2 linked regions of the Xenopus tropicalis genome follow. The protein of the gene in region 1 interacts with the protein of each later gene in a biochemical or structural test. Links are inferred from orthologs where the notes say so. Each region holds a gene or a part of one and is shown in the gene's direction. Other genes may lie near its edges.

Evidence for each region. The genes of interacting proteins can lie anywhere in the genome.
Region 2: the proteins of rptor (region 1) and akt1s1 interact in a biophysical measurement, tested with the Homo sapiens proteins (2 studies listed by BioGRID and IntAct, with this or other methods). The link is inferred for Xenopus tropicalis from reciprocal best matches to the Homo sapiens genes RPTOR and AKT1S1.

The regions. Positions count from the first base shown.
Region 1 is NC_030686.2:26,905,395-26,910,733, reverse strand, and holds part of rptor (regulatory-associated protein of mTOR), read left to right. Parts: intron 1-142; coding exon 143-267; intron 268-388; coding exon 389-493; intron 494-1,273; coding exon 1,274-1,321; intron 1,322-1,625; coding exon 1,626-1,732; intron 1,733-2,341; coding exon 2,342-2,469; intron 2,470-3,064; coding exon 3,065-3,151; intron 3,152-3,334; coding exon 3,335-3,451; intron 3,452-4,115; coding exon 4,116-4,245; intron 4,246-4,455; coding exon 4,456-4,524; 3' UTR 4,525-5,339. UniProt on the Homo sapiens protein: Component of the mechanistic target of rapamycin complex 1 (mTORC1), an evolutionarily conserved central nutrient sensor that stimulates anabolic reactions and macromolecule biosynthesis to promote cellular biomass generation and growth.
Region 2 is NC_030683.2:111,141,882-111,147,970, reverse strand, and holds the start of akt1s1 (proline-rich AKT1 substrate 1), read left to right. Parts: upstream 1-2,419; 5' UTR 2,420-2,478; intron 2,479-6,083; 5' UTR 6,084-6,089. UniProt on the Homo sapiens protein: Negative regulator of the mechanistic target of rapamycin complex 1 (mTORC1), an evolutionarily conserved central nutrient sensor that stimulates anabolic reactions and macromolecule biosynthesis to promote cellular biomass generation and growth.

The DNA.
Region 1 (5,339 bases):
CCCTACACAGGCTGAAATGTGGTTGTTGCTCACTGAGTGGCTAGTTTGCTCTACATCAGTTACGAATCAAATTGCAATATAACCACTTGGAGTTGGTAATAAAGTTGATCACAAGAACCATTCTATTTTTTCTATCTAACAGTTTCTGGGACTGGGAGAAAGGAGAGAAGCTGGATTACTTTCACAATGGTAACCCTCGTTATACTCGTATAACAGCAGTCGAATATCTGAATGGCCAAGATTGCTCTTTGCTGCTTACTGCTACAGGTTAGACATCACTTTAAACTTGGAACTCTCTCGAGAGCAGTGTTTTTCTTTCCAACTTTTTTCTTCTTCACTGTCCAGTTGTAAATATGCTGGCCCAATAACTTCACCTCTGTGCCTGCAGATGATGGAGCCATCCGCGTGTGGAAGAACTTTGCTGACTTAGAGAAAAATCCAGAGATGGTGACAGCTTGGCAGGGACTGTCCGATATGCTGCCGACCACACGAGGTCAGTTACATAGACTTCCATAGGAAGTAGGATGCGCTCACAGAAGTCATATACACGTTTACTTGTGCATCCCCTACTTTTACCTTGCTAAGTTCTTACTTTCCTCAGAGCTTCAAACCCCACATTTAGCAGAATCTTTCATAGGTCTTAAAATCATACACTTTGTATTCTTTTGGTGTCTTGATCTTACAATAATCTTTTGTTTAATGAAATCTTAGCAGACATGTACATTTGTGTAGCTTGATAATCTGCACCGTGCATGAGCAACCTGTGGTCCTTTGGGGGTCTTTATTGTAAAAAAGTATCTCTAACAATTGAAGTCATTTATTGAGGTGTCTGGGAGCTGTAGCCCTACAACAGCTAAAGGGTTTCTAATTATGGGGATTTCCATTGTCCATCCATTCTGAAATCTTTTGTTAGTAGAACATATTTGATGGCCTTTTCCCCCCCTCTGTTACATGAAAATTCTATCCAAATTGATATTGTGTAACTGTATGTTTAACACTTCAGCAAAATGAACTAACTTTCTGGTGTAAATCTTTCTAAAAATGGAAATAAAAGCAGCCTGTGATTAGGTGTCATCATTTTATAAGTGGTTTCCTTATCTGCTAAAACATTGGCTGCTGCAATGTGTGTCATACCCTGTCCCCCCAGACACAACATAGCCATCTGGGTGTAACTTGCATTCCTAACTTTTGCCTTTCTTTGCTTCTGCCTGCTGCCTCCCTCCTTCCTGGTTTCTATCCCTGTCCCCTTCCCTATACCCTTTCAAACCCACAGGCCTGGCTCGAAGAGTTTCCATTTATCTTGACAGGAGTAAACAGGGGGGTAAGTTCTTCCTTCATTAGAAATCATCTGTATTTGACTATGGCATGTTTGTGCATACACAAGTGAATGTACACAGGAAAACATTTCTGTATTGTGCTTGTGTGATATGTGCAAAATAAAAATCTGACCAAACCTTGAAGAGTTGGTTCTGCCTATATATTATAGACTAATATTTGAGTCTGAATGCAACTGATTATTCTTTGTCTTGCTAACGAACCAGCTCCAGAAGCCATTTATGCATGCAAGGTTCAAGAGCAGCGGTAACATAATGTAAGACTAATACGTTGGCATCTTTCTATCTTAGGGGCTGGCATGGTGGTGGATTGGGAGCAAGAAACAGGTCTACTCATCACATCTGGAGACGTGCGAATTATCCGGCTATGGGACACAGACAGAGAGACAAAAGTGCAGGTAAAACGTTAATAAGATTTCATGGCTACCATAGATTACAGATCAACTGTATCAATCCCACAACCATACAAACACATTCAAGTGAGATCACCACCCAAAAAATGTAATTAAAGGGAAATGCAAGTCTTGAGTAATTTTCCAATATACATTCATTACTTTTTATTAAATAGTTAAATAATTATTTGTAGTTGCAATTAAAAGCAACATTCAGGTATCCCTTTCTGTTCTCTGGCTCTGACATTGTAGCAAAAGTGGCCTTTTAATAAGCTGGCTTCTGCTACATTGTTCTAGAAGTTGGAAACAATAGTACTGAGAAATTGTAAATGGCCAGACAGTTCTCTAAAGCAATTACTTTAAAGCAAATGCAGATTTTAAATAAATATATATCAGAAAATTGTTTAGAATTACAGTGTCTTTCATAAAGTAAAAACAGTCTTATTAAACAATCTTAAAGTTCTATTAAAGAAGCACAAAGGCCTGCCATATGCAATCAGGGAACAGTTATTCTAACCTCTTTTCAAATGTCTTGGGATTGCAATGTGAAGATTTCCAGCATTTTGTCTCTATGGCCTCTATATACTCAGTATATTGATGTCGTTATTCTTTAAGGATATACCCACTGGAGCAGACAGTTGTGTGACCAGCCTGTCATGTGACTCTCATCGTTCCCTTATTGTGGCTGGACTCGGAGATGGTTCAGTGCGAGTGTTTGATCGCAGGATGGCACTGAATGAATGGTAAGATTTTGCTTCTTTCATTTATGGTAACAGGCTAGCTCCTTGTCTGCCCATGTGTGGCTGCCTTCTGTATTGCATCAAACATAACAGTCATTTGGATAATGAAGAGGGAAAAGTCCTGGCTAGAAAGACATGTAGTAAAAGGTAACACAGAGTACTAGTTTGTAGCTGCAAACTGATCTGCAAAAGAAGAAAACACATATCACCCTAAGAAATAATTCCTAATCCTATGTTGTCATTCTATTTAAGCAAAATAAACTTTACTTATACTGTATACATTATTTAAATCTTGTTTCCTTCATTTATTTGTAAGTCCACAATTATGGCCTACAGGCAGGCTTTTATGTTTTGTTTTATGGAGTCTGTTACCAAAACAGGCTTTGCGTTATCCCAATTTATGCTCCACAAATGAGGACTCGATGCACACATCCGTGCACAGGCTACTCAGTTACGTATACTGAGAAGGGCAGGGGGCATGTGAGAAGGTTTGTGACATCTATGCAGAAATAAAATTGAAAGTGTCCTTAAAGATTGATTCAGGCTATTAATGAGCATTATGTGACACTTGAGTTGTATTTCATGTTTTTTCTTACAGCCGTGTAATGACGTACCGAGAGCACTCAGCCTGGGTAGTAAAGACTTCTCTCCAAAAGCAGTCCGATGGGAATATTGTGAGCGTCAGGTACTTAGTTCTGCTAACAATAACTTGCTCTAATTGTGTTCTGTACTGTTTCGTTTGCCTTATGCAACATAGTATTGCTGAGCTAATCCTAAAGGAATCCTCAGACTTTGTATTTCCTAAAAATATGTTGTGCATGTCACCCAGTTGCACAGAGATGTCACATCCAGTCTTTCATTTTCACAGTGTAAATGGAGATATCCGTTACTTCGACCCTCGTATGCCAGAATGTTTAAACTCACTGCAGATTGTGAAGGGTCTTACTGCGTTGGATATCCACCCACAGGCTAACCTGTTTGCATGGTAATGTGTAGTGGCACGTACTTATTCTATAAATGCAGCGAGTGCTGGTTTCAGTTAGGTAAGGCTTGTCCAACTGAAGGCCCTCGGACCAGTTATGTTTCCCAAGCACATGTATCAGCCACTACCTGTCTATATACTTCATTTTAATCCTAATATAAACCAACCAATGAGCATGTTGGCATACTACCTGTAAAAAGACAGCAAATCAGGGAATACAGGCAAATTCCAAATCTGCTTTGGGTTTTTTTGTCTTTGTCTAGATGCTTGAACAAAACATGTTTGCTTGCAGTCGTGGAGATTTTGATTGTACTGGGTAATCTAAGCTAATTCGAACCAAGGGTGCAGTTTTACAGCATTTGATGAGCAGCCTTAGCTATAAAATCTGTCTTTGATCTGTCTTTATTAGATCATAATATTGCGTTCCAGGAGATCACAGACATTGTAAAATATAGTCCCATATAACAAGGTTATATCTGCTGTATCAGGGTATATTCTCTTTTTCTAAACTAAACTTGATTTAATCATAGAATAATTTTGTGCTACGATTTCTGTATGTTTTGAGGAGTATAGAAATACTGATTTATAATATAAAACTATATATGTTACTGCTTCACTGGAAATTAACCTGTTCACTTTCTCCTTGGAAATCTCCACTTTGTTTTAGTGGTTCAATGAACCAGTTCATCGCTATTTACAATGGAAATGGAGAGCTGATCAGCAACATAAAGTACTACGATGGATTTATGGGACAAAGAATAGGAGCCATTAGCTGCCTGGCCTTTCATCCTTACTGGGTTTGTGTCTCTATAATAAGGATTTTTATGGGTTCTGGTGCTTGAAAGGCGAGGAAAAAGGTTAAGACACCTGTGCAACAAAAGGCACAAGTGAACTTAATTGTTCTTATTCTGTGTAAGAGGTACTTGTACCTACAGTATACAGTGGGATGCTACTGGAAATGCCATATTAGACACCATTAATTTCTCATGTTCTCTCTCTCTCTGCAGCCCCACCTGGCCGTTGGCAGTAATGACTATTATATGTCTATTTACTCAGTGGAGAAGCGAGCGAGATAGCTGTTTGAAGGAGGTTTCCTCTAGGTCTTCGTCTCTTGCTGTGTATATAAGCGAACCATGGCCTCGAGTGATTTCATTGCTGCTTCTCAAAAAATGAAGAAAACTACTTTGAATGGACTAAGCTAATGAACCAATGAAATGACAATACAAGGCTTTTTTACTGCCTGTCTGCTGCCTCATTTCAATGCAAAATTACAATTTATCTCTGAGGTGGTGAGGGCATTAAAACATTTGCTATGCTCTTGAATTTGGAATGAAACACATTAGGCTTTAGCTGTGATTCCATAGTTTAAATCCCTTCCTTTCATGCTGCATGGACAGCTGATCCGCTGTCTCCTGTTTTGAAGACATCTCATGTTTTGACAAGACTCTTTAGAATGGTTATCTCCTACTTGGAAAAGACTGGGCCCTGCTTCAACCTATGAGGCCAAATAATTCCGTCCTCAACAGGTGCAACCAATTGCGTTTCTTTATGCAGACCTCCTGTAATAGTAAACCAATCAAACAAAAGATAGGAGTTAAATCTCTGGTGTTTAATGTTTGGCTATTTTGCAGATCATTTTCATGTTGGCCATCCTCTACGTTGACTAGGACGTTACTTGCAGCACTTATTTGCTCTTCACCCCATGTAGCTACAGAAATAGGTGAACATTTTTTTAACGGGCAAATTATTTATTTTATCCTAAAGAGAAGTATTTCAGTAACATTTACTATAAAGGGAGAAATCGTGCAATTCTTATTTTTTAAATATGCTATTGGAATTTCCATTTCTCCTGGTAAAAATTCCACAGTCACATAAAGCCCAGAGATCTGCA
Region 2 (6,089 bases), on another chromosome or scaffold:
ACTGCTACTATAGGCACCATCTCTCCCTACTATACCTGCTATCCCACAGCCACAGTCCCTTCCCAGAGGCTATTATCCCCCACTGCTACTATAGGCACCATCTCTCCCTACTATACCTGCTATCCCACAGCCACAGTCCCTTCCCAGAGGCTATTATCCCACTGCTACTATAGGCACCATCTCTCCCTACTATACCTGCTATCCCACAGCCACAGTCCCTTCCCAGAGGCTATTATCCCACTGCTACTATAGGCACCATCTCTCCCTACTATACCTGCTATCCCACAGCCCCAGTCCCTTCCCAGAGGCTATTATCCCCCCACTGCTACTAAAGGCACCATCTCTCCCTACTATACCTGCTATCCCACAGCCCCAGTCCCTTCCCAGAGGCTATTATCCCCCCACTGCTACTATAGGCACCATCTCTCCCTACTATACCTGCTATCCCACAGCCACAGTCCCTTCCCAGAGGCTATTATCCCCCCACTGCTACTATAGGCACCATCTCTCCCTACTATACCTGCTATCCCACAGCCACAGTCCCTTCCCAGAGGCTATTATCCCCCCACTGCTACTATAGGCACCATCTCTCCCTACTATACCTGCTATCCCACAGCCACAGTCCCTTCCTAGAGGCTATTATCCCCCACTGCTACTATAGGCACCATCTCTCCCTACTATACCTGCTATCCCACAGCCACAGTCCCTTCCCAGAGGCTATTATCCCACTGCTACTATAGGCACCATCTCTCCCTACTATACCTGCTATCCCACAGCCACAGTCCCTTCCCAGAGGCTATTATCCCCCCACTGCTACTAAAGGCACCATCTCTCCCTACTATACCTGCTATCCCACAGCCCCAGTCCCTTCCCAGAGGCTATTATCCCCCCACTGCTACTATAGGCACCATCTCTCCCTACTATACCTGCTATCCCACAGCCACAGTCCCTTCCCAGAGGCTATTATCCCCCCACTGCTACTATAGGCACCATCTCTCCCTACTATACCTGCTATCCCACAGCCACAGTCCCTTCCCAGAGGCTATTAACCCCCCACTGCTACTATAGGCACCATCTCTCCCTACTATACCTGCTATCCCACAGCCACAGTCCCTTCCCAGAGGCTATTATCCCCCACTGCTACTATAGGCACCATCTCTCCCTACTATACCTGCTATCCCACAGCCACAGTCCCTTCCCAGAGGCTATTATCCCCCCACTGCTACTATAGGCACCATCTCTCCCTACTATACCTGCTATCCCACAGCCACAGTCCCTTCCCAGAGGCTATTATCCCCCACTGCTACTATAGGCACCATCTCTCCCTACTATACCTGCTATCCCACAGCCACAGTCCCTTCCCAGAGGCTATTATCCCACTGCTACTATAGGCACCATCTCTCCCTACTATACCTGCTATCCCACAGCCCCAGTCCCTTCCCAGAGGCTATTATCCCACTGCTACTATAGGCACCATCTCTCCCTACTATACCTGCTATCCCACAGCCACAGTCCCTTCCCAGAGGCTATTATCCCCCACTGCTACTATAGGCACCATCTCTCCCTACTATACCTGCTATCCCACAGCCACAGTCCCTTCCCAGAGGCTATTATCCCCCCACTGCTACTATAGGCACCATCTCTCCCTACTAAAGCACAGACACAGGTGCCTCACAAAGGCTATTGTCGCTACTACTCTCAAAACCATGGCTGCCCCAACATATTGCGCGCTATGACATTTAGCACGGTCCCCGCAGTCGCCCCCCCGTCATTAACCCCCAAAGCGAGCCATATCCGCGAACATATAGATTGTAAGCTCTACGGGGCAGGGACCTCGTTCATCTTGTTTCTGACTCTTATTGCAACTGTACCTTGTATTTATTTGTATTTATTGTTGTACTTTGTATTTATCCATTATCTTTAACACCGTTTGTATTTATGTATTCTACTGTACAGCACTGCGTACATAAGTAGCGCTTTATAAATAAAGATATACATACATACACACACAACCAAGGACTATCAATAAATGCCCCAAACAACACTGCTCAATGCACTAACAAACAACTCCCCTCGCATACTAGAACCCCGCCCCTTTCTGAAGTAACACCACGGTACTATTTCAGCTAACTAACCCGGCCCCTCCCTCTGGGCGGAGCTAAAGTTCATCACGTGGGGCACGCATACACGTACGAGCTTTAGGCTAGAGAAATGATATTGATAATGTAATGAGAAGTACGTGTGCGAGTAAAGTCCCGCCGGTGTGTCGGTGTGTGGGGCAGTATGATGACCCTCACTGGGAGCTTGCCTATTGTTCCTAGGTTTGGGCAAGCTGAGTTGGCAGCCAACATGTTGGGGAGAGGGGGCGTGGCCTTGCCGATATAAATGGGGGAGGCGGCGAGTGGTGGAGGCTGGTGGCGGTGACGTCTGTAGCTGTGCGACCCGGGGGGCTCTGGTTCGGCTCAGTGAGGGCTGCAGGTAAATCTTGTTTGTGCGGCTTGCGGCTGTCTGTCTGCGTCCAACATTGCACGGGTAGGCAGCGATTGGGAGGGGATGCTGGGAGCAGTAGTCGGAGCTCTGCTAGCTTGGGCTGGCTGCATAAACGTTATAAGCCTGTGGGTTGTGCTCAGCCGGTTTGCACTCTTGAAACGTTTCAATGATTTTAAATTGATTTGTAAATTGCTTTTAAGGCTGTTGCTCTACTCTGCACTGCGGCTTCTGCCTGTATTACAGATTGGAAAGTTTTTGTTATTTTGTTTTTCTGCACAAAATTACTGGGTTTTGTTAGTTACCTGGGAGTTGAGGGATTTGCTCCTTTTTGCATGGCTTCTAATAACCAGGCTGTTGGCAATGCATGCTGGGACATTCATAGAGAGCAGGGTGCACATCTGGAACTTGCCATAGACAAAGGGTTAAAGTGGGGCTTTATGGCTCTCTGGCCTGTGGGTTTTCCAGGCCCCCTACACCTGTGCCTCCTGTGCCTAATGTCACTTGGAGTGTGCTAAGGAGGGACAATGTAGCAGGCCCTGGTGTCAAGAAACCGCCAGTACGCTCCATGTCTGTCCCCTTAGAAACCGCCAGTACGCTCCATGTCTGTCCCCTTAGAAACCGCCAGTACGCTCCATGTCTGTCCCCTTAGAAACCGCCAGTACGCTCCATGTCTGTCCCCTTAGAAACCGCCAGTACGCTCCATGTCTGTCCCCTTAGAAACCGCCAGTACGCTCCATGTCTGTCCCCTTAGAAACCGCCAGTACGCTCCATGTCTGTCCCCTTAGAAACCGCCAGTACGCTCCATGTCTGTCCCCTTAGAAACCGCCAGTACGCTCCATGTCTGTCCCCTTAGAAACCGCCAGTACGCTCCATGTCTGTCCCCTTAGAAACCGCCAGTACGCTCCTTGTCTGTCCCCCTTAGAAACCGCCAGTACGCTCCATGTCTGTCCCCTTAGAAACCGCCAGTACGCTCCATGTCTGTCCCCTTAGAAACCGCCAGTACGCTCCATGTCTGTCCCCTTAGAAACCGCCAGTACGCTCCATATCTGCAGACTGATGGTAATTGTATCCTTTCAGTGTGTGTGTTGGTAGGTGGGTGCCATTGCAGTTATTGTTTGCAACATTGGGTAGATAAGGGGATTATTATTTTCTCAGCAGGGGTGGCATTATTTTAATTCCTTGTTTGGAATATTTAAAAGGAAATCCAGTTTCTAAACCAAAATTTGTTAAAGAGCCCCACACAACAACAAAACTCTAATATACCTATCCCTGTAATCTGTTCCTTCCTAAAGTATGCATAAATACTATTTTTATATGCTGAAATCCAGCAGCAAAACCATTCATTTTTCTGCCTCATTTGAAATCCTGGCAGGGGAGGAGGGACTAAAACATGGATGTTTCAAATTGTAACAACTCGCAACTTACTGACCTCATGCATGAACTACATAACCCACAATGCATTGCACTGAGATTCCTTTCTTATTGACACCATGTGTGCAGGGGATTGTGGGAAATGCTTGTTTAGAACAATGCATAATCTATTTTGGTCTGTTGGGCACATTGTAGTTCATCTTTAAGTTAACTCTTGGTATCTTATAGAATGGGCTATTTATGTATACAGCACACAGGGCCATGTTTTCTATATAGGCACTCGAAGGCCCTTGTCTAGGGGTGTCCTTTGATGCCTATATATAAAAAAAAAAATTTTATTTTAAAATTTAAATATTTTCTTGGTTAAATCTGGCAGTGGAGCCGAGACAGAAGGGGGGGTAACCATCGCTCTTGAGGGTCAGGAAGGGGGTGGCTGAAGTCCGATTCCTAGGGCAGAGCTGGGCCCTTTTCTTCCAGAAAAGAAAGAAGAAAGCAGTAGGATTCCCAAAGCAATCATGTGCTACTTTGTAACCGCAATGAAAGTACATTAACCTTTTGACTGCCAGCCTTTGCAGATTCTTCTTGATTCCCAGTGGTTTGATAAAAGTTGGTACTTCAGTAGATTCTACAGCATTGACTTGCAAAGTGACGGGCTTTTAGGGACACAAACACTATTGCAGTGCTACCCATGTAACTTCCATGCAGCCAGCATTTTTATTGAGGAATCTCATACAAAGGATAGCCTGTGACTCATTAAGTCCAGCATTTATCTATCATTATGGAGTAACTTGCCTGTAAAATTTCATAACACAATGTAGATGTGACTGAATCTTTCCCTGTACCCACCTGCTTGTAAGTGTGTTAAAGGGATTATGTCATGATTTTTATGGTATTAGTTTTTATGGTAGGATAGTCTTTATTACTAAATTACACTGTGTACATTGCAAATAATTCACTCTACCATTTAAAATGTTATTCTTTAACCAATCTTTTTTTTTTTTTTTTTTTTAAGCTGTAATATTAGTGTAGGCAGCCATCTCAGTGCACTGCAATAGCAAAACCGTACTTGGGTTTCTCCTGCTTGGGTGCTATTCTCCTGTCTACCACTAGGTGAGGCATGGGAGCATATTCAGCAATGCAAATGATTTCTGAATACATTTTGATTATACAGTGCTTAATCTGTGGGCGGAAAAATATGGCAATCTCTCTCCAGATTATCCTTATAGGCAGGGGTCCCCAACCTTACAACAAAAGCACACAAGTTTCTGGGGTGCCAATTATAGGCTGTGATTAGCTATTGGTAGCCCCTACATGGTCTGGCAGCAGGAGGTTCTGTTGGGCAATTACACTGGGTTTTTATGCAGTCAAAGCTTGCCGCTAACCTCTTATTCAAAAATAAGCACCTGCTTTGAGACCCTTGGGAGCAACATCCAATGGTATGGTGCGTAACATGTTGCTCACATCCCACTGGTTGGGGATCACTGCCCTGAGAGTAACAAGGGAAAAGCCAGGGTCACCAAAAATAATTTTGTCTAATAAAAGAAAACTTAATATTAAGCAACTTTGCAATATACATTCATTACAAATTTGTAATGGCTTTTAATCTTTGTGATTATATTACTGCTATTAAAAGTAATGTTTGTCCTTTTCTCTGAGTTTGGAAACAATGTAACACAAACCAACAGACTGACAGACTTCTCTGGCTAGAGGAGACTACCCTTTGCAACATTGTTTAAAAAGTAAAAACCAGGAGTTCAGCAAATGCTGCCTTCAATAGCAATTACATAGCAATTTCTAAATACAGTTTAAATTACTAAACATTTTTAATAAATTCATATTGGAAAACTGCTTAGAATTTTCTTTTATTGGCAAAAATTATTTTTTGGATTGACATCCTTTAAAACGGGGTCGAACCAAACCCACAAACTTATGGATTCAGCCGGATACCAAATCATTCTTTAATATGCATATTACATACATATTGTCGCATTTGATAGTCTAAAACTGTAAAGTCACATGACCTAAAGTCCTTTCACTCCTACTTCTGCCAGTCATATATAATTGGCTTAGGGGGTGGGGGGACAGGTGCTGCCCTAAAGGTAAGTCATCAATTCCCACAAGCATTTTAGTTGTCAAATGTCCCTTTATAAATTCAACAGTAGGATTATTTTATCCTTCCGTCCATTGGACTAACTGATTTCTACCCTTTGTTCCATGAATAGGGTTAG